Ovis aries: one gene and its partners. The protein of the gene in region 1 purifies or fractionates together with the protein of each later gene. This does not show direct contact. Links are inferred from orthologs where the notes say so. Each region holds a gene or a part of one and is shown in the gene's direction. Other genes may lie near its edges. The genes, in order: CNOT6, TNKS1BP1 and CNOT1.

Evidence for each region.
Region 2: the proteins of CNOT6 (region 1) and TNKS1BP1 purify together in Homo sapiens (affinity purification with mass spectrometry; 3 studies listed by BioGRID and IntAct, with this or other methods). This does not show direct contact. The link is inferred for Ovis aries from reciprocal best matches to the Homo sapiens genes CNOT6 and TNKS1BP1.
Region 3: the proteins of CNOT6 (region 1) and CNOT1 purify together in Homo sapiens (affinity purification with mass spectrometry; 5 studies listed by BioGRID and IntAct, with this or other methods). This does not show direct contact. The link is inferred for Ovis aries from reciprocal best matches to the Homo sapiens genes CNOT6 and CNOT1.

The regions. Positions count from the first base shown.
Region 1 is NC_056058.1:420,890-430,700, reverse strand, and holds part of CNOT6 (CCR4-NOT transcription complex subunit 6), read left to right. Parts: intron 1-729; coding exon 730-884; intron 885-1,622; coding exon 1,623-1,777; intron 1,778-2,665; coding exon 2,666-2,896; intron 2,897-4,638; coding exon 4,639-4,841; intron 4,842-6,803; coding exon 6,804-7,016; 3' UTR 7,017-9,811. UniProt on the Homo sapiens protein: Poly(A) nuclease with 3'-5' RNase activity.
Region 2 is NC_056068.1:79,346,784-79,356,594, reverse strand, and holds part of TNKS1BP1 (182 kDa tankyrase-1-binding protein), read left to right. Parts: coding exon of another isoform or gene 1-195; intron 196-571; coding exon of another isoform or gene 572-794; intron 795-1,127; coding exon of another isoform or gene 1,128-1,171; intron 1,172-1,198; 5' UTR 1,199-1,546; intron 1,547-2,091; exon of another isoform or gene 2,092-2,186; intron 2,187-2,532; 5' UTR 2,533-2,546; coding exon 2,547-2,640; intron 2,641-3,667; coding exon 3,668-4,298; intron 4,299-5,815; coding exon 5,816-5,885; intron 5,886-9,811. Other genes in the region: collagen alpha-1(I) chain-like, read right to left, coding at 1-195, 572-794, 1,128-1,171.
Region 3 is NC_056067.1:25,969,972-25,979,882, reverse strand, and holds the start of CNOT1 (CCR4-NOT transcription complex subunit 1), read left to right. Parts: upstream 1-3,253; 5' UTR 3,254-3,352; intron 3,353-9,911.

The DNA.
Region 1 (9,811 bases):
TTAACACATTTGAAGTCCTGGCTTTCGCAGTTCTTAAAATACAGACTTTTCCTGTATTGACTGAATTCTGGGAACATTCGCCGCATCCTGTGCTTTTAGCATTGTGCTGCCAAATTAAGCAAATGGGTTACGCTGGGTGTTTAGGTGATTGCTATTACAGCTAAATGTTTACCTGCTCCTCCTTTATGTCCTTCCACACTATTTTTAATCGGGTGGCACTGTCAAGGTATAATTTTGCTTTACTACCAGTGGTAATTGAATAATTAGGGCCAAGTGGAAAGAACATTGAATCTGGTAGACAGTAACTGGGTTCTCAGTCCAACCCTCATAATAACTTACATGACCTTTGGCAAGTGACTTTCTCCTTGTGGTCTGAAACTTGATCTGTGGAGTTCCTTCTCCTGTTCTGATTTTTGTTTATACCAGTTTTAATATAAGGAAATATATATATCAGGAAATATAAAATATAAGGAAATACATATGCATAGGGGTATATGGCTTTCCATTCTTTACTCCTAAACAGCAAAGAGGTACTTTATTAACAGGTACCTGTAAAATGACAAGTAGGTGTTGTGACTGATTTCAGATAAATTACATTGAAAAGATGTAATTCTTCATTCTTCAGATCAGTCCTTTGAATTTATTTTAAGGTCTCAAACTGTACATATAAAGATAGTGCATAGGACTGGTTTTTGTCTTATGAAATAACTGCTGTTTACAATTTTTCAGGAAGTTGAAACAGAACAGTATTACAGTTTTTTTCTGGTAGAACTGAAAGAACGTGGCTATAATGGATTCTTTAGTCCTAAATCTAGAGCTAGGACAATGTCAGAGCAAGAAAGAAAACATGTTGATGGCTGTGCAATATTTTTTAAAACAGAAAAGTAAGTCATCTTCTTTCTTTCTTCTTTTTCTTGGGGGGTCCATGCCATGTGGGGATCTTAGTTCCCTGACCAGTGATCAAACCTGTTTCCCTGCAGTGGAAGTCAGAGTCCTAACTACTGGACCACCAGGGAATTCCCCAGTCATCTTACTCTTGAAAAGAAAATATTCTCTGAATTTGCAGGATGAGGGTCAAGGGAATGGAAATTAGTTGGCAGCTAAGAGAATGAGGCACATTTTATTTCTCAAGAAAACAGTACTATGATTTAAAGGGTGTTTTGATTCATCAGAAAAAATGTTTTTGGAAGACATGTTGAAAGTTCTGCTGTTTTTTCAGGTGTCTTCTAGGGTTTAACTCCAGTTGTTAATTGAAACACTTTGTAATTGCATTCCCTCTGGGATGGTAGAGAGATTCTTAAGCCCATACTTTGGAAGAAAATTATTTTAAAATTGTAAGATGGAATATTCCAGCATGAAACCTAAATAGAAGATGACTGTATTGTCTTAAGATGACTGTATTATCTTAAGTTGTAAAAGTTTCTCAAGATGTTATTTGTATCTGTGGCAGACTGAGAGCAACTGAAATGGACACGGGAAGCTTAGTGCTAAGTGTGGAGGATTTTCTGTAATGTAATTTACATGTCATCATGTCTGTTAAGGAAGTTGGGGGGAAATTGCATTTACCACAAAATGGATGTCTTGGTATCCCCAATTTTATATTTGTGTGTGTTTTGTTTTAGATTTACTTTGGTTCAGAAACACACTGTTGAATTTAATCAACTAGCAATGGCAAATTCAGAAGGGTCTGAAGCCATGCTGAACAGAGTCATGACGAAAGATAACATAGGAGTGGCTGTACTGCTAGAGCTTCGAAAGGAACTGATTGAAGTATCATGTGAGTGACCTTTTCACTTCCTATAAAATCTGGCCTCCAAAATGGAATAGACGACACAAAATGTTTCATAGTAATACTCTTGTCTAATGCCTGAAGAAATTCAGAATTTAAATCTTTTCTAAAATCTCATCCAGTTTTCTCTACCGCAAAGCTCAAGAAGAGGAAGCATTGCCTAGAAAAGTATTTCAAATCTTAAAAGGCATACACAAGGTTTTTTCTGCTCGAGAATTTGTCACATAAAATACTGAAGTAAATATTAGTTAAAATAACTGCTCAGAGAGAAGAATTCTGTACACGTAATACAATTTCTTGGCAACAAGGATATTTCTGTGTTGACTTCTCTCCCTGACCTGCTTTTAGTCATTATTTTAAAGGTCTTAAGTCTTGGAGAAATGGACCACCTATTTCAGATTAAATGTATATTTAGAGAGTGATCATCATGGTAAGAACTGAGACTTCTTTCACCTGAGGAGCAGCTGGAAATGGGGATATATAATCTGAGGGATAGAAAAGATGGAAGATGGAACTTAGTGACTTTTTAAAATGTTTTTTTAAGAAAAAGGATGTCCGTTTAATTTTGTGATGCTCAGTTTAGGACATCTAGAAAATCAGAAGTTTTAAGGAGCTGGAACTATTTAAAAACCAAGCTGTCCCAAATAGTATGGGCTCTCTGTTCAAAGAGTGAATACCCTGTGCTGGAAGTCCTCATCCCAGAGGCCAGATGTCTGTTTCTCAGGTTTGTTGCAGAGGGTAGATCAGTTTTTAGATGGGAGATTTTCAACCAGATTTTAGCATTTTTTTTAAATTCCCGGGACTCTGAGATATTACTTGCTTTCAGACCATGTGAGAATATATGGGCTTTGTTTCTTTTCTTTTTATCTGATATAGCTGGAAAGCCACATCTTGGAACAGAAAAGCAGCTTATTCTCGTGGCTAATGCTCATATGCACTGGGACCCTGAATACTCCGATGTGAAGTTGGTTCAAACGATGATGTTCCTCTCAGAAGTGAAGAATATTATTGATAAAGCCTCGAGAAGTCTCCAGTCCAATGTATTAGGAGAATTTGGAACTATTCCACTAGTGTTATGTGCAGATCTTAATTCTTTGCCGGACTCTGGTAAACAAAACAATGCTATCTTACATAGAACACTTGCTGACTTAAAATGTTTTTGTAATGTGTTGTTTCTGATAATTCCAAATCTAGTCAAAATGAAAATTCAGTTTATAGTGGCCGCTATCAATCAGGTTAAAAATCTTTTGTGTGTGTGGAGTAGGGAGACCATTTTGAAAATGAAATGGTATTATTACCACTTCATTATAAAATGAAATAGTAAATGGTAATGGTATTATCCTCTGGATATTATCCAGATGTTAATCATCTTCAGAAAACACATGGGCATATATTATTATCCCCATGTTCTATGTATTGCAGACTCTGAAAAGGTTACTAAGACAGACTCTGGGATTCCAGCATGTGGTAATCTAATCCAGTTTAAATTTGACCGTATATCACCCAGCCTCAAATTTTGGTAGACTCGATTAGAAACATTGTGCACCTCAGTTGGAATTTGAGATTTTTCTGTTTACACAGGTCAGACAGTGGTTTTAACAAAAAAAGGATCAAGAATGTTGATATTTAGTCACAGAGTGGAAGGATACAGAAAGCCTTAATCTTAAACTTTTCCATAGATAGTACAGTGAGTAACAACCGTACTTTCTTGGATACTCAAGAGAACTTTCCCTTGAACTTACTTGCATGCCTGAATGCATGCATTCACACACACACACACTTGGAGTAGTTAAATTCAGTAGCATATTGCTGCTGTCACAATAGATGAAAGAAAAGATAATGAAACAGAATTTATGTTAAAATCTGTTTTGGGGGGAGATAAAGGTGCCTAAGATCCATAATTCTTTAGTCTGTCTCATCAAAGCCATCTGGGGATTACTGGAAAGTTCTTTATTTGCTTTTCATCCTCTTTAGCTACAAAATATGTGAGGGGCAAAGAGAGACTCTTGTCGCATGATACAGATCTTAAGACTCATTTCTATGTTGCATTGTAATAACAAAACACATGGAAAAATGTCTAGTTTTGGTAAGTGATTAAATGAAAGTTAAATATTTGCAGAGCCCACCTTATGCCTGTGTGTGTGCTAAGTCACTTCTGTCATGTCTGACTCTGTGATCCCATGGACTGTATCTGTCCAGGCTCCTCTGTCCATGGGATTCTTCAGGCAAGAATACTGGAGTGGGTTGCCACACTCTCCTCCAGGGTATCTTCGGAACCCAGGGATTGAACTCAGGTCTCCCACATTGCAGATGGATTTTTTTACCATCAGAGCCACAAGGGAAGCCCCACCTTATGCTTAGCACACTGGAAAAATAGTGTCCAGAGATGGTGAGATGGCTCTGTCATTCTTTCATAATTCATGTATTCATACGCACAATGAATCCTAATGTTGGTATTTCATGCTGACCCTGAGCAGAAGCCTACATACTAAGATGTTGATTGTGGTGTTAATTAAAAAAAAAAAAAAAGGAATAACGTGAACTTTAAGAAATAGGGAAATGGTTTAACAAATACTATATGTCAGCCCTGTTGTGTTACACAATTATTAAAAAAAAATAATTGAGATGACATAAGTTCATGTGGTAAAGTGTAAAATATTCACTGTGATTAAAACCATGGAAAAAATGTGTTTATACAAGTTTTGGCAAAGGTGGAAAATAGTGAAACATTTTAAAAAGTGAGAATATGTGTGATTTAAAACTTTACTCTTGAATTACCTGTTTAGTTACGTATTACACATTGTATATTATACTTAACAATGCAGAAAGTACATTTATATTCTTTATAGGTGTTGTAGAATATTTGAGCACTGGTGAAGTAGAAACAAATCATAAAGACTTTAAGGAACTGAGATACAATGAAAGTCTTACGAACTTCAGCTGTAATGGGAAAAATGGGACAACCAATGGAAGGATCACTCATGGCTTCAAGTTAAAGAGTGCCTATGAGAGTGGCCTGATGCCTTACACCAACTACACATTTGATTTTAAGGTGAGTTTTGAGATGAAGAAACATTTAAAACTCCATTTTTTTTTTCAAGAGCATTTTATAATTTTGTGATGGCTTTAAATGTTAACACTCAGAATGGAATTAAGCCATCTCAAATTAGCTGACAGCAGTATTCTTATGTAGAATTCCATGTGATTAGAATTCCACCCCTACTTTATAGATATTATTAGAATCATTTCTAAGGTTAGAGATCAGATGAAATAATGATATTAAATCCTGAGTTATCTGTCATCTCTTTAGAGCTTTTTTTTTTTTTTTTTTTTAATGGGCTCATTACTAACAGCTGGATATGCAGGACCATTGTATTTTATTTGATGTTAGTTTGATGTTCCGTTTCTTCTCTTTCAGTTTAACTGAAACTGTACTATTTGGGAACCAAAATGTAGTTTACTGTTAGCTGTTGTAAATTTTCTAATACACATATTGTTTATATGCCTTCTTATACAATTAATGGATTATTACAATGTGGAGTTTTTTTCCTAGTAATTCTCCTCATTTTTATTATCTGTGGTTGTTTAGGACTTGTGTTCAATTGTCCTTTTTTGCCATCTTTTGCATTTTTGCTCTCTTAAATCCTAGTTTTCCATTTCTAACCTGCTGAAAAAATAGTCATTCAGGTTAGATTGTCTATTAGAATAGTGCAAATACTTGTGTTAACTGTTGCTTAATTTTAGAGGGGAGGGTTATTTAGACTCCTTTGAGAAACTTTTGAAAACTAAAAAATTTTTTTATTTGACTTTCGAGGATCTATAGAACCGTAGATAATGATTTAACACTGGGCAGAGATGAGTATGTATAGTTAAAGAGAGACTAGAGTAGACTGGGCAAAACTAACATGTAAATGATGATAGTAATCAAAGAGGTGGAAAACCATGACAGTATAAGGAACTTAAATGCCAAGGAAGGAAAGCCTTTCTAGGGAAAGAGGAGTGAGTGTTAAGCTTCAGAAAGATTTGCTCAGAGTTGTCTGTAGAGGTGTTCAGAGAAACTAGAATACAATGAGTTGAAGAGTAACTGAGCAATGAGTGAAAAAACCAGCTACAGATTTTCGTTTCAAGGAGGTTGATGGCAGAAGAGGGGAGGATGATAACCACAAGATGGGAGAGATTAGAGGTGTTTGCCTTCTGACTACTGTTACTGGTAGAAAATTAGGAAGAATTTAGAATGTGCTTAAATACTTTTGGCCAAGAGCATGTAAAGGACAGACTGTTACAGTTACTGGACAGAGAGGAGCAAACTAAGAGTATCCTAGCTGTGTGCCAGATGCTGTGCCTGAGTGCTGTTGAAGGTGTAAAAGGCAGAGATGTGCTTGGCCTTTGTGACATCATAGTCTGGTGGGAACATAGATTTCAGCCGCACAAATGAGTATATAGTTGCACTTAAGGGTGTACATTAGCAAGGGAAAAAATCAGGTGGTAGCTTTAAGTGGATAAGGGTAGGATTCCAGAAGGCCTTGGGAAGGTAATTAAACTTGGCACTTGAAGGTTAAGAGGGATTTAGTCAGGTGACAAGTAGAAGAAAGTGTTGCAGACACGTGTGCCGGCCCTGGAGGAGGACGGAGCTTCTCACCTACAGGAGACGCACCTCAGTTCACACCCTGCTTCCCAAAAAGGGCTAGTATGGCAGTGGAGTAGTGAGCAAGGAAAAGTGTCACAAGTTAAGTTAGGAAAAAGAAGCAGAGGCTGTATCGTGAAGGATTCTTTAGGTCTCGTTAAAGATTTTGAAACGATCTACATAGGAGGAAGAAGGATTACCATCCCTAAGGTTTCTTCATTCTCAGTTTGGGGTTGTTATTTGATCTATGTAATAACTGCCCTTTTCTGCAGCCTAGTAAATTTCTTTGTTTACCAAACACGACTGAGGATATGTCTTGAAAGTTCTCAGTATTTCAGTGTCATTTTATGTGTCATTTTCTTATTTTTCTTTTTGCCTTCTGTTTTTCAGGGTATAATTGACTACATCTTCTATTCTAAACCTCAGCTGAACACTTTAGGCATTCTGGGACCTCTGGACCACCACTGGCTAGTTGAGAACAATATCAGCGGCTGCCCACACCCACTCATCCCCTCTGACCACTTCTCACTTTTTGCACAACTGGAGCTCTTACTGCCTTTCCTGCCCCAGGTTAATGGCATTCACCTTCCTGGCAGGAGGTAGTCAAGTACCTTCAGAGGATGACCTCAGTTTTACTCATAAACTTGTAAAAATTCTGAATATAGGGGAGTGAGGTATGGCCACTAAGATTTGTTGGTTTGTTTTTTCTTAATGATGATTTGAGTTTTCAGTCTGATCATTTGATAAGGATATAGTATGAAAGCCAGGTGCTAGCAAACAAATTCTGAGCCCAGTATGCTTTATATACTGTTAGACAGGGATTGGTGTGTTTGCACCTATCTTTAATTTGTTGCAAATAATTTTCCTGTTTCTTCTATCCAATATAATATTTTCATGCCTTGAAATAGGAAACTGAACAGCATATTCTCTTTGCACAGAAATCTGTAGCACTACTTTTTTGAGGCCAGTAATAACATCCAGAGATCATTCTTCCGTACTTTACTCCCTCCTTTTTCAGACTTGTTTGTAAAATATAGAATTTGAATTTAGCCTTTATGATTGTATATGATCCACAGAAGACCTGATTTATGAAATTTTGTACTAAAAAAATCAGATTTGGAAATGATTGTATTGTAATCTAAGGCTAAGGTTTTTTTTACCTGTTTCATGTGTTATAAAGCTTGTAAAAGAAGTTGCAACAGACTTTCTCTGCTGATGATTTGCACTGTTAGGGTTTTGTTAGCCCTTTTGTACTACTTTGTTTTTAAATGGAAAACATTAAATTTAACTCTGTTTAAAGTTTAGGACATTTGCTTGGACTAGAGACAACTTACCTATGAATTCCTGGATTTTTGCAAAAAACTATTTACCAGGACAGATAATCTGAGTAGTGAATGATCCGAAGGCATTTATGGACTGAATGTGTAATGGTTGATGTATGTACATTCTGATATTTTTAAATCCTTAACTTTTTTAAGTTAAAAAATTATGGCTGCTTAGGTACAGCTTCTTAACTCCTTTTCGAGACACTTCTTGTCCTATCTCCACTGTGCCTGCCTGAATTTGTTCCCACCAAGCACTGCCTGTGCATGCAGAGAAAATCTGTGCATCCTCTTTTGTATTTTTTAAATACTGTTTAACATTTGTGAGAGTTTTATGAAAATCCTTTTGTATGAGCTGTGGGTTTTTTCCATTGTGAAGCATTGAATATCACATTTTGGAACGTGTTCATAGGGTGGGGATCCCTGGGTCTTTGTTTGCCAGACCCAAGCACTGCTTTTTGGCGTCATTGCACAGTGCTGTTCATCACCCAGAGTACTACTATCATGTGAATTCTTTTTGTTTTCCATGTATTCCTTAGTTTCCATGTTTTTAAAAAATCATTCCCTTTTTTTAAAAAAAGAAAAAAAGTGATTTTCCGTTTATGAAGCAGTATAAAATAAATGAGATGTATTTTCAAAACAGGTCCCTAAGACAATACTTCAGATCATTTTTAAAGTGACCAAGTCATTTTAATATGTCAACCAAGATAAAAGATATTATACCTTGTATTTTGCCTGTAGTGCCATTAGTAGGATAGAGATTAAAGCCAGCTTTAACTTTGCAAAGTGAACTCCTATATGTTCTGTTCTCATTCATTCATTCTCTCAAAAAACAAATGAATTCAGAGGGAACTTGGTCTAACTGCTTTTGTTTCAGCTGCAGGCAGGGAAGCAAAAGGACACCATGTATCCAGTGAGCATTAAGAAGAGAAATTGTTGATTGTTAATAACAGTTTTTATACAGAGAATGAGTCATTTTGGATAATGACTTAAAATTTTATGAAAAATGTTCAGCACTTAAATGTGCTTATTCTAAGAGAAAATAAAATTACACACTGTTTAAGTAAAAGATTCTTTTTTTTTTCCTTTAAAAAAAAATTCTACAAAAGGTTTTGATCTTGAATCTTTGTCTGGGACCTGGTTTTTCCTTTGAGGTTTGCTTTTTCTTTCTTTTTTTTTTAAGATTTTGTTGTGATAGTTTTTTATTTTTTGCCTTTTGTTTTACGTTGTGCTGACACCAAACACATCTGGTTTATAATCAGTACATTGGAAAGCTGGTATTATTGATATAGAACCAATGCATAGCTTTCTTTAGGGTTTCTTTTTGGGTTTTTGGTTTTTGTAAAGTGTGAATAAAAGATGTTTACTCATTTTTCCTAAACACTGTGTTGGTAGTGTGCATCATGACAGTTTCCAGCAAAGGCAAGCTGGAGCTGGTTGGACTGATGAGATGAAGGAAACTGCTTGAGCTTTATGGAAGAAGGGGAGAAGCACTTACTCTGTTTTTAATGGAGGATGTATTCTTTTCATAGATGCTGGAACTAGAGTGCACTTGTTAGATGCTAAAGGTTTGAGCTTTACACAAAATATTTTCATCTGTATTTGTTATTGTCTACAAAATATTTTAATTTGGAACCAGCATACTAAGATACAATGGCTGTTTATGTCTTGAAAATATTTGTTCTTGCCTCTTCTAGGCATACTGCATTCTGTGGGTCAGTTTGAACAGCTTCTCCACCTTATTAGATAGTGGTAAATTGAACCAGGAGTATAGATTTACAACCATAAGCTTCAAAAGAGAAAAAGTGTTTTCAGTCTATAGTGAATAAATGATCATACCAAAATAGACTGAAACTTCGGTTAAGCAAGGTTTGTGTTTTAAATATTTTCTGTGTTCTGGATAATTTCCAGTAACCTGTACTCCCTAAAATGCAGTAAATAAAAAAAAGAAAAACTAGTAAGTTTTCACAGTATAGGTTTTCTTCAAAAATTCTGTAACAAACATATTTAATGTGGTGTTGCCATAATGTAATTTCAGTGTTCTTACAGGATAAACCCATCTTATGAATATTTTGC
Region 2 (9,811 bases), on another chromosome or scaffold:
CCCCGCCGGGCCCTTCCAGACGGCCCCTCGCCCCGGGCTCTCCCGTCTCGCGGTTGGCCCTCCCTCCTGCGGCAGTGTTCTCTCCGGCTCCGGCCGGAGGGAGATCTCAGGGTCGGCGGAGGCGGCCCTGCCTGCGGCGAGGCTTCTTTGGGCCTCCGCCTCGGGGCAGGAGCCGCCTGGTGTCTCCCCTGTGCCCTAAGGGTCCAGCCGGTCTCTGGACTCTTAACGCGTGGGGGATGCTCAGAGCCGCTGAGATTTTCACAGCTCTGCCCTCCGGCCCTGGTCACCCGGGTTTCCCGCTGGGCGTCTGAGCTGCTGAGACCCCGTCCTCAGTTGGGGGAGTGAGCCCTCCCTCTTGGGTGCTACAGCTCCCTGCCCGGCTGAGCCTCCAGGTGAAAGGGTTTTCGGTTCTGGACCAGCTGGTCTCCATTCCTAACCACCCACACCATGTATCCCTGGTAATAACGTTCAAGGACAAGGAAACAGCCTTGCGTTTTTTTTTTGAATTTTATGTTTTCTGCCGCGTGCCCCTCCTCCACGCACACTCGGGCCGGCTGTGAATGTTACTCACCCACCCACAGCGCGCCTGCTGCACCGGACTTGGCTGACCGGACTTGCACGGGCCTGGATGTCTCTTTTCCTCCTGTCTAGTCCCTCCTATCTGGGGAACAAGCTGGGGCAGGGTCAGAAGTGAGAGGTTTTCCCGGAAGTTGGGCACCTGAGGTCCCTTCTTTGGATCTGTTGCTATCTTGCCAGACCAGCTGGAGTGGGTGACTTTGGGCAAGGCAGGGCCCCTGCAGGTTGGAGAGGGTTGGGTTGTCCTCAGGGACCCCATGCATGCCAGGTGATAGGAAACATCGCTTTTCCTTTGGAACAGAGGGCCGGGGGCTCTATCAAGGAGGCAGGGGCAGTGGTCAGTCCAGGGGCCTCTTGTGGGTGGGATGGCGCTTCAGGACCCAGGATGGGACCTGAGGAAGTGGTGGAGTGTCTGAGAACAGGTGACAAGACTGGGTTCTTCGGGAGACCAGGCGTGGTCCGCAGTGCTGGCAGCCTGTGGTTGGGGGAGAGGACGAGATGGTTTCCAAGGGAAGCCTCCTAATAGGAGCCACCGTTTAATGGCCACTTACTGGGTGCTGGCCACTGAGGTCGGCAGCTGCACGGATCGTCTCATGTGAGCCTTTTTTTTTTTTTTTTTTAGTTTTGGCCACACCTCCCAGCATGTGGGACCTCAGTACCCCAACCAGGGATCGAACTGGTGCCGCCTGCAGTGTGCGGTGGAAGTTTGGAGTCTTAACGAGTGTGTTAAGTCTCAGCGTGTTCTTCATACAGGGAAACAGGTTTAGAGCAGTGAGGAAGGTGCCTGAGGTCACAGAGCTGGAAGGCAGGAGACCCACCCAGCATTTGAATCCTGGTGGAGCAGACCCGGAGCTCCAGTTACAGGCCGAGAGGAGGGGCACCCGTTTGCTCTCGGCCATAGGCTTCTGTCATGTGGGTTAAAATATCTTCCGCAGTCTCCCTCGAAACCCCTCGGGTCAGGCCCAGGCTGGTGAGTGATGCCCAGGTAGCTCCTTCTGGTCAGCTGTGGACCCTCCCACGGTGACGAGCCCAGGAGGGGAGCCCTAGGGAGTTTTTCCCCCAAGCCACCCCGCCCCCCGGATGTTCTCGAGCCAGGTCTCATTCTCCCAGCCCCGGGCCTGGGCCGGCTCCTCCTTCCTCTTGGCGAGGCTCTGGAAATCCAGTGGGAGGCCATTGCTATGGCAACAGGACTAGGCCCTGACTTTACCTCATCAAATTCCAAGCCGAAGCCAAAGCGATTGAGAAATTAAAGGGAAAAAAAATGTATTCCAGATGTTTACTTTTTATTCCTTATTTTTCCGTGTTTGGATGAGACGGCTCTGGAGGAGGCGGGAGTCGGGGCAGGGACGTGGAGGGAGGAGGGGGACTCGGGGGGCAGGGAGGGAACCACTCCCAGCGGCAGGCCAGGGAGCGGGAAGGGGAGGCCCGCGGGGCAGGCGGGTGTCGGGGCGGGGCCCAGGTTGGGGAGGAGCGGGTTTTTCCCGTCTCCCGCGAGGTGATTCACCCGGAGACTTCAGACTTGGCAGCCCTCTTGCCCCGGCCCTGAGTTGATCCTTCGAGCGGGGTTCCCGGACCCAAGGAGTGTGTGTGTGGGGGGTGCCTTGGGAATGGTAAGTGGAGTGCCCTGGACAGCTGGCTGGAGGAGGGAGCAGGGGGCGGCTCGTCGGACCTGCAGGACTTTAGGGTTAGGAGACGGACTTGGAGAGCTGTCGCAGGGTCGGGGGGGGGGGGGGGGGGGAGCGGCCAGAGAGGAGGACGTGGCCGCCGGGGACCTCCCGTGACCTCCCCCAGCGCCCCTCCTGAAGCGCCCGCTTCCTGTCCCGCACTGGCCTCCGCCAGAAGTCAGAGACGGCGCGCTGCCAGCGCACAGCTCTCTGGCCCTCTCTCCGCTCTCCCTCCTTTCTTCCTGGGTCTTCCGCCGCCCCCAGCCCACACCGCTCTGCCCCCGACTCCCAGGTCTGCCGCATGTGATGCAAGAGTCTGCTCCCAGGGAAGGCGCAGCCATGGCCTCCCCCGCGCCCCGCCAGCCGGACGAGGAGCTGGTGTCCGCTGGCTCTGAGCCAGGTACCTGTAGGTGCGGGGTGGAGCGGGCTGGCTGGGAAGGGGGCCAGAGGCCCGAACCCCCATTCGGTCTTGGGGGCTGGTGGGTGAAGGCTGACTCTGTTGGGGAGGGAGGGAGGAGTCCTGAGGACCAGCGGGAGGAGCCCTCTGCTCCGGTGGAGACCCTTCGGAACTGCGGATCACAGCTCTCCAGCAGAGAGCACGCTAACCTTGGAGAGGGTGTGGATCAAACCACCTGTTTGACAGAGGAGGAAACTGAGGCCTGGGTGTGGGGGCGGGGAGGGCATGCATCTTTGGGCTTGGACCCAGGCCTCCTGGCTCCCTGTCTAGACACCTTTCTTGCGCCGAGTGGAATGAGTGGGTGATAAAGGATCCTATTAGCAGGGCTGTGGCCATGAGTAATTCAAGGTCTTTTATTTGGCATTGAAATGCCTTATATAGAAGGTATGTTTCTGGTCTTTTTTTTCCTTCTGTAGCAGATTTCTTTTTGTTTGGCTTAGGTCAATAGTGAGATTGCCTTCCTGGTCTCACAGTGGATGGTGGCGGGGAGGTGGCCTGGGTGTGCCCCTGAGGAGGGGGCCAGCAGGGTGGCAGGGTAGGGAAGCTGAGCTGGGAGAACGAGTTTGCTGTGGATGTAGTTTAGCAGAATGGCATGCTCTAGGGAAGGACCAGACTGGGGGAGATGGAGGGCCGACTGCCTGGCGTGGGCAGGCAGGCATTCATTTATTAACCCATTTGGTCGTCTGGCCATTCACTTGGTAAGAGTGGGTACAGTGAGAAATAGCTGCCAGCTGGGGCCTTAAATGGCTTTTCACTTTTAAGGGTGACTGGCTAGACATTTCAGGAATTTGGAGATGAGGGAAGATGTTTCTGGGATGTGTCTGGAAAATCCAGGAAGCCTTCATGGAAGCGGTGACATTTGATTTGTACATGGAAGGGTGTGGGAACATTCTGAGTACATAGGGTGGGAGGTGAAGTTCTGCTTCCTGTTCTTCTGACATCGGCTCAACCAGCCTTTTCCTTTTGGTAGGTGACCATCGGGCCAAACCCCCTGTCAAGCCCAAACCCCGAGCCCTGCCTGGCAAGCCAGCCCTGCCTGCGAAGCCCAGCCTGCTGGTGCCCATTGGGCCTCGGCCTCCCCGGGGTCCTCTGGCCGAATTGCCTTCTGCCCGGAAGATGAACATGCTGGCGGGACCCCAGCCCTACGGCGGCAATAAGCGGCCCCTTCCGTTTGCGCCAAGGCCTGCGGCGGAAGCCCTGGCTGGGGGAGAAGGCACCCGGGAGCCTGGGAAAGAGGAGCCTGGGAAAGAAGAGACGCCCCCCTTGACCCCTCCGGCCCGATGCGCCGCCCCTGGGGGTGTGCGCAAGGCGCCCCTCCCCTTCCGCCCAGCCCCGGAGCGCTTCGCCGCGCCCACGGTGGAGGAGATCCTGGCCAAGATGGACCAGCCCAGGAAAGAGGGCCCGGCCAGCCCCGACCGCCTCTGGGGCTCCCGCCTCACCTTCAATCACGACGGCAGCTCCAGATACGGTCCCAGGAGCTACGGCATGGCCCCAGGCCCCAGGGATGATGCTGGGACCCTCTCCAAGGAATGGTCCCAGGAGGGGCCCGCGGGGTCTCCTGCCGACTGCCCCGAGGAGCCCAGCGAGACCCCCGAGCAGAGGTGAGGGGTGGGGGGCTGTGTGTCTGGTTGCGGCCAGCCTGGAGGACAGGGTGGGTAGTCTCCTGTGAGATGGTGATCTTCCCTTGGAGGTTAGCTGTGCTGCACGGCGCGTGCGTGCGGGTCAACCCGTGACAGTCACGGACCACCCACCGCCCTCCCCGCCCCGCCCCCTTCCGCAGACTGAGTGAGTGTGTGCTTCATTCTGCAGTCGTCCTCTGCACAGAGTCCGTAGGAGAATTCAGATGTATAGCTTGGAAGTTTATTTTCAGTGCTTTTTTAATATGGGGAGCCAAACTCTGCCTCACTTAATCCACAGCTATCCTGTGTAGTAAAGGCAGTATTAGGCCCATTTTAGAGATGAGGAAACTGAGGCTCAAAAGTGACTTCCCCTGGTCCCTTAGCAAGTGACAGACAGAGCTGGGGTTAGAATTAGGGCCTCTCTGATTCCAGTGTGTGCTCTTAACTGCTGGCCCGCCCTGTGGGTGCAACGGTGTGCCAGGTGCTGGGTGTGTGTGTGTGTCTTTGTGTCTGTGTGTATCTGTGCTGGGGTATGTATCTGTGTGTGTGTCTGCTGGAGTGTGTGTGTGTGTGTGTGTGTGTGTGTGTGTGTGTGTGTGTGGCACAGCCTGGCCGTGAAGAGGAGTCTGACAGGAGAGGAAAGCCGTGAACACCCCTTGACGCCAGGCCAGTGGATGTGAGCATGCGGGCCACACAGCTGGGTTGGAGACCATTGCGGGCAGCATCCCCTTTCCCAGAGCCCGTGCCAGCGTGTCCTGGGGGCTCCTGACCTGGATGTGTCCCTGGGCCCCGGGGAGGAGGCTGAGGGTCCCAGCTGCCTGGAGCATCCTCAGGGCAGGGAGCACCAGCTTGGGCTCGTTGCCCCCCAGGCCCCGCAGCTCTCTGGCCCCGCTGACCCCGCTCCTGCTGCGGAGAAGGCCCTGCCGTGGTCTGAGCCGAGCTGGAGGCCCAGAGTCTCGCCTGTGGTGCCCGCCAGCCTCTCCTGGGAATATGGACACCCGAGGCCTCCTGTCCCCCTGGGCTCCCTGGAGGCCTGCTCTGTTCAGGCTGGGTTCCGCCCTCTTTCCCCTCCTTTGCTCCCAGCCTGGCTTGAAAGGAGCAACCTCGACCTTGCAAAATTCCTCTGGTGGTCTCCCTCCCCCTGCAGTTCTCCGGAAGCGTTGGCTGGGGAGGGGCCAGCTGCCCTGGCCCGGAGAACCCTAACCCCTCAAGGGCTCTGGGGTTTGGTGGTCTTACCAGGAGCCCCAAGGGCTCTGGGCCTGCGCGGGCTTTTCCCAGAGGGGTTGGGGGGGCTTACCTCCTGACATGCAGGTGGGGCACATGCGCTGGCCCTGGGGTGCTCTCTCTCGGAGCCGCCAGAGTTTTTGTCCCCTGGGAGGACGTGCCCCTGGCGGGGTGCACGTCAGGTTCTGTCCCGGTCATCAGGCAGACCCCTGATCACCCCTTCCTTCTCCACCTGCGTGATCCGTGCCTCCGTCTCTCCTCTTTCTCCCTCACAGGAAGTGCCCCTCGGACCTGGCCTTCAACGGGGACCTGGCCCAGCCGGCGATCTCTGAGCCCGTGACTGACGTGAGTTCCCTACCTGCTATGACGCAGTCTCTGAGCTGGAAGGGCCTCGTTTGTGCCTCTCTCCCGCCTCCCTCAGTTTAGCTGGGGAAACAGAGGCTGTGGAGGATGTTTACGTGACTTGCGTCAGGACTCAGATTTCTCAACTTCCAGGCCACCCTGGCTAAGTGTGGCTGAGGCCCTGAGGCTCCTACAGTGTCCAGGATGACTGCCCTGGACAGCCTACTGTCTGCTGGGCAACCTCGGGGATGTTGACTGACGTAACCCGGTCATAACTCTGACTGAATAGGCCCCTCAGGTCCCATGCGAGAGGTGCGGACGCCGGGGCTTGAGGTGCCAAATAGCTTGCCCAGGGGCTGAAGGCAGGATCCGAGTCCAGCACGGTCCCTGGCCAGGCCTGCCCTCTCGCAGAAGAGGGGAAGTGATGTTTCACGGGGGTCTTCTGTTACAGCCCCTCTGCCCATGGTGTGCTCGGGGGTGGACAGTCTGCGTTCCCGAGTAGATGATGCGAAGGGTGGTCTGTTTTGCTCCCAGAGCCCTTGCTAGCTGGAGGCTGTCCCGTCCAGCAGGGGGAGAGACCTGAGAGTGTGCATTTGTCCAAACGTATTTATCGAGCATCCACTGTGATCCTGGTGCCGGGGAGACAGCCACAAGCAAAGCGTCCACAGTCCCCCTGCTTCCAGGAAAGCGTGTGTCCATCCCTCACTCTTGTCCGACTCTTTGTGACCCCGTGGACTGTAGCCCACCAGGCTGTTCCGTCCACAGAGTTCTCTGGGCAGGCATATCGGAGCGGGTAGCCGTTCCCTTCTCTCAGGGGGCTTCCTGACCCAAGGATCGAACCCAGGTCTTCTGCCTTGTAGGCAGATTCTTTACTGTCTGAGCCACGAGGGAAGCCCTTGCTCCCCGAGGAACGCGCCTTCTAACGCGGGGAGGCAGACTCCAACACTGGGCGCCCTGTGACCCGGCAGACGTGCAGAGCATCAGACAGGCACCTGGGACCCCGCCTGCATGGGTCCCGGGGCGAGGGTGACGGGAAGTCCTTGCCAGGAAGTGGGGCATGGGGTGAGCTCTTGGATGTTTGGGGAACAGCCTTTTTGGCAGAGGGAGCTGCAGCTACAAAGGACGTGGGCTCCACCCAGCGAGGAAGCTGGGGTGTCTGGGTCACAGACTGGGTGGTGATGGGCCACTCGGGGCGGGGAGTGCTGGCTTGCAGGAGGGAAGGAGGCCACTGAGGGGCGGGAGGAGAGGCGTGACCTTGCTGCCGTTGCAAGGAGTCTCCCTGCCCAAGATCTTGGCCAGGGGCAGCAGCAGGGGCCAGTCGGGGGGTTCTGGGGGTCACCCTGGTGAGAGACGACAGTGCTGTGGATCCTGGAGGCAGTCCCTGGGGGAGACGGTGGGTGGGTGGGGCCTCTGATGTGAAGGTGGAGTGGACGGGACTTGCAGGCAAGGCTGATCTGGGGGAGTGAACGGAGAGTGAAGCGTGCCGCTGGGGGTCTATGGCCCAAGTGGTCGGGAGGTTACCCTTCACGGAGAAGGGGGCCTTCGTAATGTTGGGAAGACCGGAGGAGCTTGCTTCTGGATCTGTTGAGCTGGAGACGCCTCATCCCACGGGGTCCGAGGGGGTCAGTGGGGCGTTTTGAGTCCGGAGCTGCAGGGACTTGTCGGTGTGCAGATGGCCCTGGAGTCGGCTGGGGTCCCCGAGGGCATGGGTGAGGCGTGGGAGGGAGACGAGGCCTGGCAGAGGAGCCCAGGAGATGCAGGAAGGAGCAGAGGTTAGGAGGGAACCCTGCTGGCGTGGAGCACAGGAGCTGCCCAGGCTGGAGGAGGGACTAGGGCGGGCGGTCAGCGATCAGGTGGTGCCTGCGGGGCAAGGAAGGGGCGCCCTGAGAATGGGGGGTTGCATGGGGGGTCGTGGCTGAACTTGGCTGGAGCGGCAGGGTGGTGGAAGTGAAGAAGGGAGCCCATTTGGAGGGGGCTCAGCGGAGGCCGGGCCCAAGGCGCTGAGGTTAGAGGTGCTGAATGCAGAGGCCGGGTTTAAGGAAAGGGGTGCAGCTGGAGAGATGGGAGGGCTGGACAGCAGCATGTGTGTGTTCTTTAAGCCAGAAGAAATGAGGGCAGTTTGTGTGCGGATGGAAACGGTCCAGTAGAGAAGGAAAAAAATCTGTGATGCTGGACACAGAGAGGAGGGCTTGGCCTGAGCTCTGAGCAGGGACGGCTCAGGAGTGGGGCGCCCGGGTGGGGGTCTCTGAGTCCTCGGGGAGGGAGAGCAAGGCCCTCAGCCCGGAAAGCCTGGGCAGAGGTGCAGAGGTTTGAGGACAGACTGGATGGGAAAGCGTCGCTGGGAGGTGGGGGTGCATGGAAGGGGGATGTCGTGAGATTGCTGGGCGTTCTGGCTGAGCCCGGGGCGGCTGCGGCTGCGGCTGCAGGGAACCCACCATCCCAGCGGCGGCTATCTCCAGCTGCTCTGGTGCAGTCTGGAGCTGGGGCAGAGCTGTATTGCATTAGGTTAAACTGGAGTTGGGGAGGGGAATACAGGGAGTTCACACAATGGTGGAGGAGAGAGGGGAGTGGGACGGGGAGAAGGGAGGAGACAGGCGGAGGGGAGGGAGAGAGGGTGCTGGATGGACGGGGGTGGACACAGGCCAGCAGGTCCCCTAGACCTGACGCTCCGGAGGGGCTCTGGCTGAGGACGAGGTCTAGGGTGGACCCTCAGAGAGGTGGGCTCTGGGGAAGTCGGGAAGAGGAGGTCAGGGAGCGGAGCCAGGATGCTGGATGGGTCAGTTGTGGGGCTTCAGGAACCGCTGTGAGCTCTTTACCAGGGGCAGCGCTTGGGAGAGCGGCTGTGGTCCAGGAGCTCTGCTCTGAGGGCGGAGGGGTCTGTCCTGGGCTCTTGGAGGAGGGTTCCTGGGGGGCGTGGTTTAAGGGCACAGGCTCTAAGTTAACCTGGGACTCGTCTGCGCGGGCTGGAAGGATCGGAGGGTGGCCTTGACGCGGAAACAGGATGCCCCCCTGCCCAGGCCCAGGGGTCAGGTGGTGGTGGGCAGACAGCCCTCCATGGGAGAAGGTGGGGGGCCTGACCTCTGGGGAGAGCAGAGGTCAGATAGAACGAGACTCAGGTCGCGGCATGCAGGGGTGAAGGGGGGTCAAATGCTGGGGGTCCCAGGGCCCCAGGGTGTCCGTTCTTCCCCGGTGCTGTTCACAGCGGCCTGGTGCGCAGATCTTGCTGAATCCTCTCCTGACCACGAGGTGGACATTGTTGCCCTGGCCCTGGGTTGCAGGTGGGGACGCTGGGGCTCGGAGAGACCCCGCGTGGGAAGGCATCCCGCCGACAGGGGAGGTGCTGGTGTCTCCCAGCGCTTTCACGGTCCCTGGGGCTTCTGGCCTGAATCCCGGGTCCCGCTGTCCCCCGGGCAGCGCTGGGAACGTGGATGCTCAGAGCAAGGGTGCGAGCTGCTCCCAGGAGCTGGTCTGAAGCTGCCCTGGGCCTGGTGGAGTCCCACCCTGAGGCCACGCACCCAGCCAGCCAGACTCTCTAGCTTCCTTTTGCCTTTCCTTTACAAAGCCAGTTGTAAAAACACATATTTTATTTGTTTACATACTCAGCGGCACTGGGTCCCACGGGATCTTTGATCTTCACTCTAGCTCGCGCGATCTACAGTGATGACATGCAGACTTTTAGTTTCCACACTTGGGATATAGTTCCCTGGCCAGGGATCGAACCCGGGACCCCCCTCATTGGGAGTGTGGAATCTTAGCCCCTGGACCACCAGGAAAGCGCACAAAGCCAGTGTTCCTGACCCATGAACCTTGGACCCTTAGGAACTCACATGAGCTTTGGGCTTGGGGGATGCGGGTGGGCGTGGTCTGAGTGATCCCCTGGGAATGGAGCGCTGTGCATTTTGTGGGGGGAGGGCCACACGGGAGGGTCT
Region 3 (9,911 bases), on another chromosome or scaffold:
CTATTTTCAAAAGTTCGAATCTATGGTAATAAAACAAAACAAAGGTCAATCTTGTCAAAGCTATGGTTTTTCCAGTGGTCATGTATGGGTGTGAGAGTTGGACTATAAAGAAAGCTGAGTGCTGAAGAATTGATGCTTTTGAACTGTGGTGTTGGAAAAGACTCTTGAGAGTCCCTTGGACTGCAAGGAGATCCAACCAGTCAATCCTAAAGGAAATCAGTCCTGAATATTCATTGGAAAGACTGATTTTCAAGCTGAAACTCTAATACTTTGGGCACCTGATACAGAGAACCGACTCATTGGGAAAGACCCCGATGCTGGGAAAAATTGAAGGCGGGCGAAGAAGGGGACGACAGAGGATGAGATGGTTGGATGGCATCACCGACGCGATGGACATGAGTTTGAGTAGGCCCTGGGAGTTGGTGATGGACAGGGAAGCATGGCATGCTACAGTCCATAGGATTGCAAAGAGTCAGACAGGACTGAGCCACTGAACTGACTGACTGAAAATAAAACAAAAAGCAAAAGCTCCCATTACCCTTCCTCATTCCACTTCCTACCCAGGGATAACCAGTTATGTCAGTTGGGGGAAATGGCGTTATCTTTTCAAATCTTTTAATACACTTATTTACAGGTAAATACAAATATAGTTCCTTTCTCCTACACAAATGGTAACATACTGATTATGCCATCCGTTTTTGGTTTTGTTTTTCTTATTCTGCACCTAACGATTAACAATAAATCTTCGAATCATTCCATATTAGTACCTACAGACTTATAGTTTTAAAAAACTTTGCGGTATTCCATACTCTTATTCATCTTCTTTTCTATTGTGTCCAATCTTTTAGGACCTAATTAACCCCATCAATTAATATCTTTAAATATCCATCTCTGTACAAATTTGCAATATTCACCTGTGGAGTAAATTCTTAGATATTGGATCAATGGGTCTATGCATTTTCAGTTTTGATAAATCTGGCTAAAATTCTGCTATCCGTTGAGGTTTCAGCAATTTTATACAACAAGGTATAGGAAGGACTTATATTCTCATCCTTGATTCCCTGGTGGCTCAGACAGTAAAGCGTCTGCCCACAATGCAGGAGACCGGGTTTCGATCCCTGGGTTGGAAAGATCCCCTGGAGAAGGAAATGGCAACCCACTCTAGTACTCTTGCCTAGAAAATTCCATGGATGGAGGAACCTGGTGGGCTACAGTCCCTGGGGTTACAAAGAGTCAGACACGACTGAGAGACTTCACTCACTCACTGGTCTGTTTAAGGAATCTTCTATCACTAACATTATAATGTTTTAAATCCAATTCTCCATCGCATGATTTTTCAACATTTATTTTCTCACGTGTCTGTCAAGTGCCAGGCACTGTGCTAGGTGCTGGGATACAGCTATGAACAAGACTGAAGTAACCCTTCCGCTTATTGTACATGGGGTCCTTGGGTATCCTACACGTATTTGAAACCACCAGATACTCAGTTAAAGTTTGCTGGAAGAGTTGGCGTTCAATGAAGGCAGGTGTCAAAAAGTATTTTTAGGAGGTTAGAGAGATCAGTCAGTCACAAAAAGACAAATTATGCATGAGTCTACCTGTTCAGTTCAGTTCAGTCGCTCAGTCGCTCAGTCGTGTCCGACTGTTTGCGACCCCATGAATCGCAGCACGCCAGGCCTCCTTCTCCTGCCCCCAATCCCTTCCAGTATCAGAGTCTTTTCCAATGAGTTAACTCTTCACATGAAGTGGCCAAAGTATTGGAGTTTCAGCTTTAGCATCATTCCTTCCAAAGAACACCCAGGGCTGATCTCCTTTAGAATGGACTGGTTGGATCTCCTTGCAGTCCAAGGGACTCTCACGAGTCTTCACCAACACCACAGTTCAAAAGCATCAATTCTTGGGCGCTCAGCTTTCTTCACAGTCCAACTCTCACATCCATACAGGACCACTGGAAAAACCATAGCCTTGACTAGACGGACCTTTGTTGGCAAAGTAATGTCTCTGCTTTTGAATATGCTATCTAGGTTGGTCATAACTTTTCTTTCAAGGAGTAAGCGTCTTTTAATTTCATGGTTGCAATCACCATCTGCAGTGATTTTGGAGCCCAAAAAAGATAAAGTCTGACACTGTTTCCACTGTTTCCCCATCGATTTCCCATGAAGCGATGGGACCAGATGCCATGATCTTCGTTTTCTGAATGTTGAGCTTTAAGCCAACTTCTTCACTCTCCTCCCTCACTTCGCTGGATACAGGTGACCACAAAATCTTTTTTTAACCACAAAATCTTAAAAAAGATGTTTCTACATTTTTTTCTCCCGACAGCAAAGGGCATAAGTATTCCTTCTGCTACCACTAACAGGGACTAAGCCAAACAAAGAACCCGAGAGTTTCCTATTTCTCCGTAGGGAGTGCCTTCTTCCAGAGGCAGAACTAGACAGGAAAGTTCTCCTGACCGGAGCATGAGAGGACCAAATGGGACTACGTTCTCCAGAATGCATTGCTCTTCCTGGGGCGTCGTAAATGAGGGAGGAACTCGCACTACTTTTGCGACAGGGATGGGCGGAGGGGGAGGACTACACATCCCAGGATGCAAAGCGCCAGAGCGCTAGTTAGAGCCTCGCTTGCTTGTAGTTTTCTGGTAACCGGCGTTCCCCGCCAAAGAGACGCGGGGCAGGACGGGAGTGTTTAAGATTGGGAATCCCCGTGGTCTACCGGACACTTGACACTTCGAAAGAGAAAGGAGAGTACTGGAAGGCTGTTTTTCACTCTAACTCATAATAGTTCCCGCGCAAGGTGGAGAAGGCTTAAGGGCCCCCTCCTTTATTTAGTGTTTCTCAGAGGCTTTGCCAGACCCCCATTGGTCGAGGATCTCGAGGGCAGGTGGGAAGTCCATGAAGCCCCAAATCGAAGTTATCTGCTTCTCCCCATTGGCCCTCGCCTCGAGCGCAGGCGCGAGGGCTCCGACTCCAGTCCCTGGGGACTGGTGAACGGCAATTGGCCAAAGCCCGCGAAGTAGGAGTCTGGATTGGTAGTTGCTAGCAGGAGCCTGGTTTCTTCCTTGACTTCTGCAAGTGATAGTGTGTGATTGGTTTAAATCCGCGGGCACCTGTCGATGATTGGGCGGGAGCCACAGGCGGGGTGCGCTCATTGGCTGGTGCTGGGTCCATCCCTTCTCGGGCGGGCAGCAAATGATGAAATAGGAACGGGGAGGGGAAAGGCCGCGACGTGAGCGCGCGACCTCCGGCGCCATTTTGTAGAGAAACAAGCGGAGTTAACCGAAGAGGGGGTCTAGGAGAACCGGAGTCGGGGACCCAGGAGTTTCCTGTGTCCAGCGCCGTCGGAGCCGCTTGAGGTGTGGTGGGCTGGGGTCGGGTGCCGAGGCCGACAGGCGGTGTCAGCTACGGAACTTGGGTGCCGGTGCGGGAAGGAACGGGGGTGGTCCCGGGGCCACTGGGAGCGTTTCCCGGGGCTCCGAGGTGTGAGGGGCAGTCGGGACGGGGAAGTGGCGAGGCGGGAGAGGGCGGACTGTCTCCCCTCGGCCCGCGGAGTCTTCGGCCTCTGGAGAGAAGAGGGCTTGGTGAAAGCTCTAGGAAACCGAGGGCAGAGCGCGGAATGAGACCCGGGATTGGCCCCCCCTTGCCCGGGCCTGGCGGCTCTGAGGGCGGTGTTGGCGGCACTTGGGGGCGGCTGGGCCCTCGCTTCGCGCGGACTGCACCCTTCGCAGACTCCACGAGCTTCTCAACTGCCGGATGGGTGCTGCGGGCATCGGCCTCGGAGGCCTAGCTCCGGGGAGGCGGGGGGGGCGAGGTGCCCGTGTTCGGAGTAGTTGCCGACTCCGGGTTCCTCTCGGTGGACCTGGAGCTGCCAGTCCCCCTCCCCCGCCCCCAGCACGTTGTCAAACCCCGGGTGTTTCGGGTGTCCGCCGGTGGGAGGGGCGGGCGGGAGCGAGCACTTCCTCATTACTTCTTGCCACAGGTTTTGTTCCACTCGCGCGCCCGGGCGCTCACTCAGTCTCCAGAGTCGGCCCCCACCCACCTGGCTCAGTGTCTGTTCTGTAGTAGTGGTGCTACTCGCCCAGGAGAAGAGCTCTCGTAGTGAGCCGAGCATTTGGGAGGCCTCCGTGAGAGATACTATGGGTCTCCAGGGGGTTACATAAGGCCAAAAGCACAAATGTTCTTTTTCAGTCCCACCCCCTCTGCAGATTTCACCCAAGTGGGTTCCCACAGATGAGTACCCTTCCTAGGATTAAACTTTAATGCTTGATGTCTGTGGGTTTGGAGATGTGTTTAAAATAAACTTTGAGCAGGAAGCTTTTCCCTTTGAAGTCACTCAAACATCACATATTTTAGGACTCTTAAAAGTTTTTTTTCCTGAGAGTATTAACTCTTAGTCTCTCTTTTTATTTCTCTGTAATTCAGTTGCCTTGGGGAGTTTAACAGTTAATAACTGAGTGAGCATAGTTGGTTACTTTTTGCGGAGAAAATTCTGAGTGTTTACCTCGTGACAGTCCGTTTGATAGGAGTAGGGATACACGGATGGAAAAATGATTGGACAAATACAAAATCAGGAAGTAGGTCAAACAGATTAAGAACAAACTTGTTTATGTAGAAGTATTTGGGCTTAATATCCTCAGGTTGTCATATCTGTCCTTCCAGAGATTTGGCAGTGTAGTATTTTAGCTCTTAATAAGATATTTGGTAACAGTTTAAATTATCCTGTTTTAGGACATTCCAAATTGTTACCTTGTCTAAGGAGAAAATGAGCTGATGATACATAACGTTGTAGGCATCTAGTTGTGCTTTGAAATGGTCGCATGATAATACTTGTTTGGAGAGTTGGTCCCTTTTCAACAAGTGAAGGGTCCCAATTCCTTCCGTGGAAACAAGGCAGAGATTTGACCATCAGTAACAACGTCTTACCCTCTTCTTGCCTAAGATTGTAATCTTAGCAGTTTTAAGGCACCTTTTTCTGGCATTATTGTGGAACAACTGAAATGCTTTTGGTTCCTAACTCAAATGGATCTCTGGCTTAGCCAGAGAGAAATACAGTCTCTTAGATTTCTGCTGGGGTTTTAAGTACTGGTCTCTTTAATATGGATCTTGTCAGGCTAAGTACCGTAATGTCCTCCTAACTTTGGGTTAAGTCATTAAAAAAAAAAAAACAGAAGAGGAAATGCTTATTTCTTGACAGTATGCTTAAAGACTAATATCAAATTTGCTTGAATGTTCCTTTTTCCAAGTATATTTTTGGTTAGCTCCTGATCTAGTTACGAGAAGTTTCTTTTTAACCAACTTAAGTTTATGAATTTATGAACTTGAATCTTTATTTCATTCTACTGTGTAACAAATCTTTGTTACTCAATACTATGGAAGAGAATTTACCTACAGTAATTTAAATTGGATGCCCAGATTTTTCAAGACACTTATTTTTGGTAAGATGTTTATGATTCTTGAATTGTCAAAATTTGGAGAAGGCAGTGGCACCCCACTTCAGTACTCTTGCCTAGAGAATCCCGTGGATGGAGGAGCCTGGTGGGCTGTAGTCTGTGGGTCGCTAAGAGTTGGACACAACTGAGCGACTTCACTTTGACTTTTCATTTCCATGCATTGGAGAAGGAAATGGCAACTCACTCCAGCGTTCTTGCCTGGAGAATCCCGGGTCGGGGTGGGGGGCTGGTGGGCTGCTATCTGTGGGGTCACACAGAGTTGGACACGACTGAAGTGACTTAGCAGCAGCAGCAGTACCAGTCATAAACTTGGTGTTTGGTTTTTTTTTTGGTAAGAAAGCAAAACTAACTTGTAAGTCATTAAAAAAATATTGGTTGAAGCATTTAACTGGCCCTCTTTCCAAACTGAACTTCCTGTGGGGAAGTTTCAAAATGGCATCCTACTGAGTCTTATTTTAAGACCTTATATAAAGAAAGATCATGCAGTTCCTTTCCTATTTGCTCACAATGTTTAAGAAGCATATTTCAAAGCTAAAATGGGCTCAAATCCTTCATCCTTTTATGTACACAATAGTTAATTTTAAGGTACTTTTCATTCATGTATTTGCGGGAACGTAGCAAAGCAAATAAAACAAATTATTCGTTGAAAAACTCGTTTGAGAAGTCAGTAGAAGTGTAGACTTAATTTGAAATCCTGTGTTAAGATTTGAAGGAAATACAGCCTTTGGGAGTATGGAGTATAGGTTTGAGAAATGCATTTCTGGAAAAAAAAATGCATTTCTACCTCTAGGCTAAATTAGAATGTTGAAAGAGATGTTAAAGTGTCTGCAGTGGAGGTGTAGGTTTTGTTGTTGTGGGTTTTTTTGTTTTTGTTTTGTGGTGTTGGACTAATTATATGAAATGTAAAGTGAAAGCATTATTTGAAAGATACCATTTTATTGCTCTTAAGCTTCCTATTAAGAGCTCAACACTTCCCCTTTTAGATAATTAGTTTGAAAGTTTGTCACCTTGGATTTAGAGCTCTTAGGTTTGAAATGCAGCGGTACTGTTAATTTTTTTGTGAACTCATAATCAGAATAGTTACTTCTTTGTTTCAGACCCTGTCTTTTTTGCATTAGCTTTCTAACTGATCTCCAGTGTTTTTTGTTTATTGGATTTCTTTATTACATAAATAATACATGAAAATGTTGTAAATGTAAATGATTCCAGGAATGCAGTTAGTTTTTTATATTAAAGACAAATTGTCTACCAAGTCATTGGTTTGAATCTAGGCATTCTGTACTCAAGTTTTTCAGTACTTTGACCTATCACTGTGTAAGTATTGACCCCTCTGTACTCATAGCAACATGTTACTAACTTACGGCGTAGTTAAAAGGTTGTTGCAGAGTGGTTCCCAAATGCATTTTTGCCCCTATTATCTGGAGTGTCATCTGTAGTTACCAAAACACTACCATTCCAATTCATATCCACATGTACTGTCTATAATCTTTTCCCTGATTTCCCTAAGCAAAATTAATTTCTTCTTCCTCTTGGCTAGATTCACTTACCTGTACCATATATTGATTTGTAAGTTTTCTATCCTACTTTGTAGTAGGTAAGGAGTCTCTCATCCTCCAAACACATACAGTTGTCCTGAGTTGTAATTGAATAGTGCTTCCATTTGTTACACTTGGGTAGATTTATTGAACATGGCGTTCTTGGAAAACCATATACCCTGGTTTTTGTTCTTTGAGGGCACAGGCTGTTTCTCTTCGAGCTATATATACTTAAAATTCAGTTGACATCTTTTAGAAAGTTAAACTTTGAAATCTAGTCATACAGAATTAATGGTATGTTTAGAAAATTGAAGCCCAGGAAATTGAAGTGACTTCCTTAGATTAGTGTTAGACCAGATTTTCTTACTCTAGCCCACTGTTGGTTCTGTCTTGCCATACTACTAAAGTACAAGGAAAACTTTGATCGTTCATCAAAAAGGTGAGGATAATCTATGATCAACCACTTATTTTTGGAGGACAAGATACAAAATTTGAGTTTTTCATCTCTTCAGTGTGAAAAAATATAAAACTCAAGTATGACAGAAAAGATAGTCTTTTCTGTTACAGTTATTGAAAGTGGGCATTACTGAACTTCAGTGTAATAAACTTGTATTTATTTCTTTTGAGGCCTTCAGAGGATGAGTGGCTTTAAAAAATTTCCTTTTTTTACTTAAATTTTAAAATGTTCTTCACTGTAAATGGAGTTGTGAGACATTTGAGTAAGTTTTCTCTTGGTGTAGTTAGTTTTAAGGCATAGCTCTAAGAAGAGTTCTCTTATTTTTTAGCAGTCTTAAATACATGGCATAGCTTTGTAATTTTGCACATGTTACTGGGAAGATGCTTCTGAATATTTGATTTCAGATCAAGAACTGATTCTTTTCTGATTTTGGAGTAAGCATGCTTTTTGAGCTCTTTTCACTTTTTATAAATTGTTAGTTGCTAACACTGAACTGAACAATTGTTTATAAAGTATGCTGATGTATGGATTGTAGTCTCTTAAAAGTGTGAAGAGACTTTCCTGGTGGTCCAGTGGTTGAGACTTTACGCTTCTACTTCAGGGAGAGCTGGTTCAGTCTCTGGTTGGGAAACTAAAATCCCATGTGCTGCATGGCCATAAAATAAATAAAATTGTGAAGCTATCCACACAAGGCTATTAAAATGTTTTTCAAGTTAGTATTAAGATTCCATTGCCTTGAGTAAAATTAGCATATTTGAAGTAAGTCAACTCTTGATCAATTTGTTTTTATCCTTGGCAGAGCTTTCATTTCAAACCAATTTATTACCTGTCGACTCTTATGCCCTTGAATATTTCCTTATTCCTTGCCAGGTGGGTTCTAAGAAAAAGTTTTACACTAAACCTTTCTAAGCCTGGGAATACACAGTTTGGGGGTGTCCACAATTTGAATTACTCATGCTGGTGCTCTTTGTTCTTTAGGTAATGAAGAGATATGGATACCATGTATAGTCATTATGGCATGAGTATTTTAGGAATAATCCTCTTCCCTTTTCAGACAGTTATGCTAGATGTTACAGAAGTTGAGATTGTCAAAGGTAAACTTTAAAAATTCCTTGAAAGTATTTGATTTTTGTCTTCTCCAATCACTAAGCCCTCAAGGACTGGCAACTACAAAATGTTGGTATGATAAATTGCTTTAGTATACTAACCTAGTTTTGGGATATGTGTATAGCTTTTTAGAGTTCTTCTGTGTTTGGGTTTCAGTCACTAATTCTCTTAATGTGCTATTATCTACTTTGCTTTCTACCCTTGGCTCCCCTATGGTTTATTCTCATCTAGAGTGATTCTTACATTTTTATTTTATTTATTTATTTATTTTTATTTTACTTTACAATACTGTATTGGTTTTGCCATACACTGACATAAATCCGCCACAGGTGTACATGAGTTCCCAGTCCTGAACCCCCTCCCACCCCATATCATCTCTCTGGGTCATCCCAGTGCACCAGCCCCCAGCATCCTGTATTGTTTCTTACATGATAGTATACATGTTTCAATGCCATTCTCCCAAATCATCCCACCCTCTCCCTCTCCCACAGAGTCCATAGAGTGATTCTTATATTTTTAAAACTAAGGTTGTGTCTTCTGTTCAAACTGTTCATTGATTCTCCATTTGTCTTTAGTAAAAGCCAAAGAAAGTCCTTTCATCATTAGCCCTGCCCTGTATCTTCTCATATATTCCACCTTCCCCCCGCCAACTTACTCTCTCCCTCCCTAAGTTTACTTCAGCTACAGTTGACCTCCATGTCTGTCTTTTCACACATTTTTCCTCTCTGAGGAAGCCTTTGCATTAACTGACAAGTCTCTCTGCCTGGAACATTCTTTTCTCAGATGTGTTCATGGCTAACTAAACCCTTCAACTCCTTAAAATCTGCTTAAATAACTGCTTTCTCCATAAGACTGACTGACCACCCTACTTTAAAATCTATGGCACCCTGCACGCCCTTCCAACTTGGTTCACTTTACTTTGCTATTTTTCCATAGTATGTAGTGTCTTTTAAAATATGTTTGATAATTTTTTATGATTTTTGTTTCTCTCCCACAGTGGGAATGCAGGGATATATGGCTGTTCACTGGTGTAGCTCAAATACCTGGCACATAAACTGTTTCTTGGATAAGTTTTGGTAGCCACTTCACATTAGCCATATACTATTTCCTACCACTTGGTGGATATGAGTTGTGCTTGACTTTATGTTGACTTTGTGGAAAGCCAAACTTGAGGTGTTCACATTCTAGGGCCCACCCTGCAGAAAGTGGATGGAAAAGCTGTTTTTTGAACAAGGGCACTGTTTATGTTTGGCAAAATAGTTTATTGGTGGTGCTGTTCTCCTTCTTTGCAAGATGTCTATTGCATCTCTCCTTCGCACTGAATTCCAATGACTGTCTCATTCATGTTTCAAAATGCTTTTGGAGA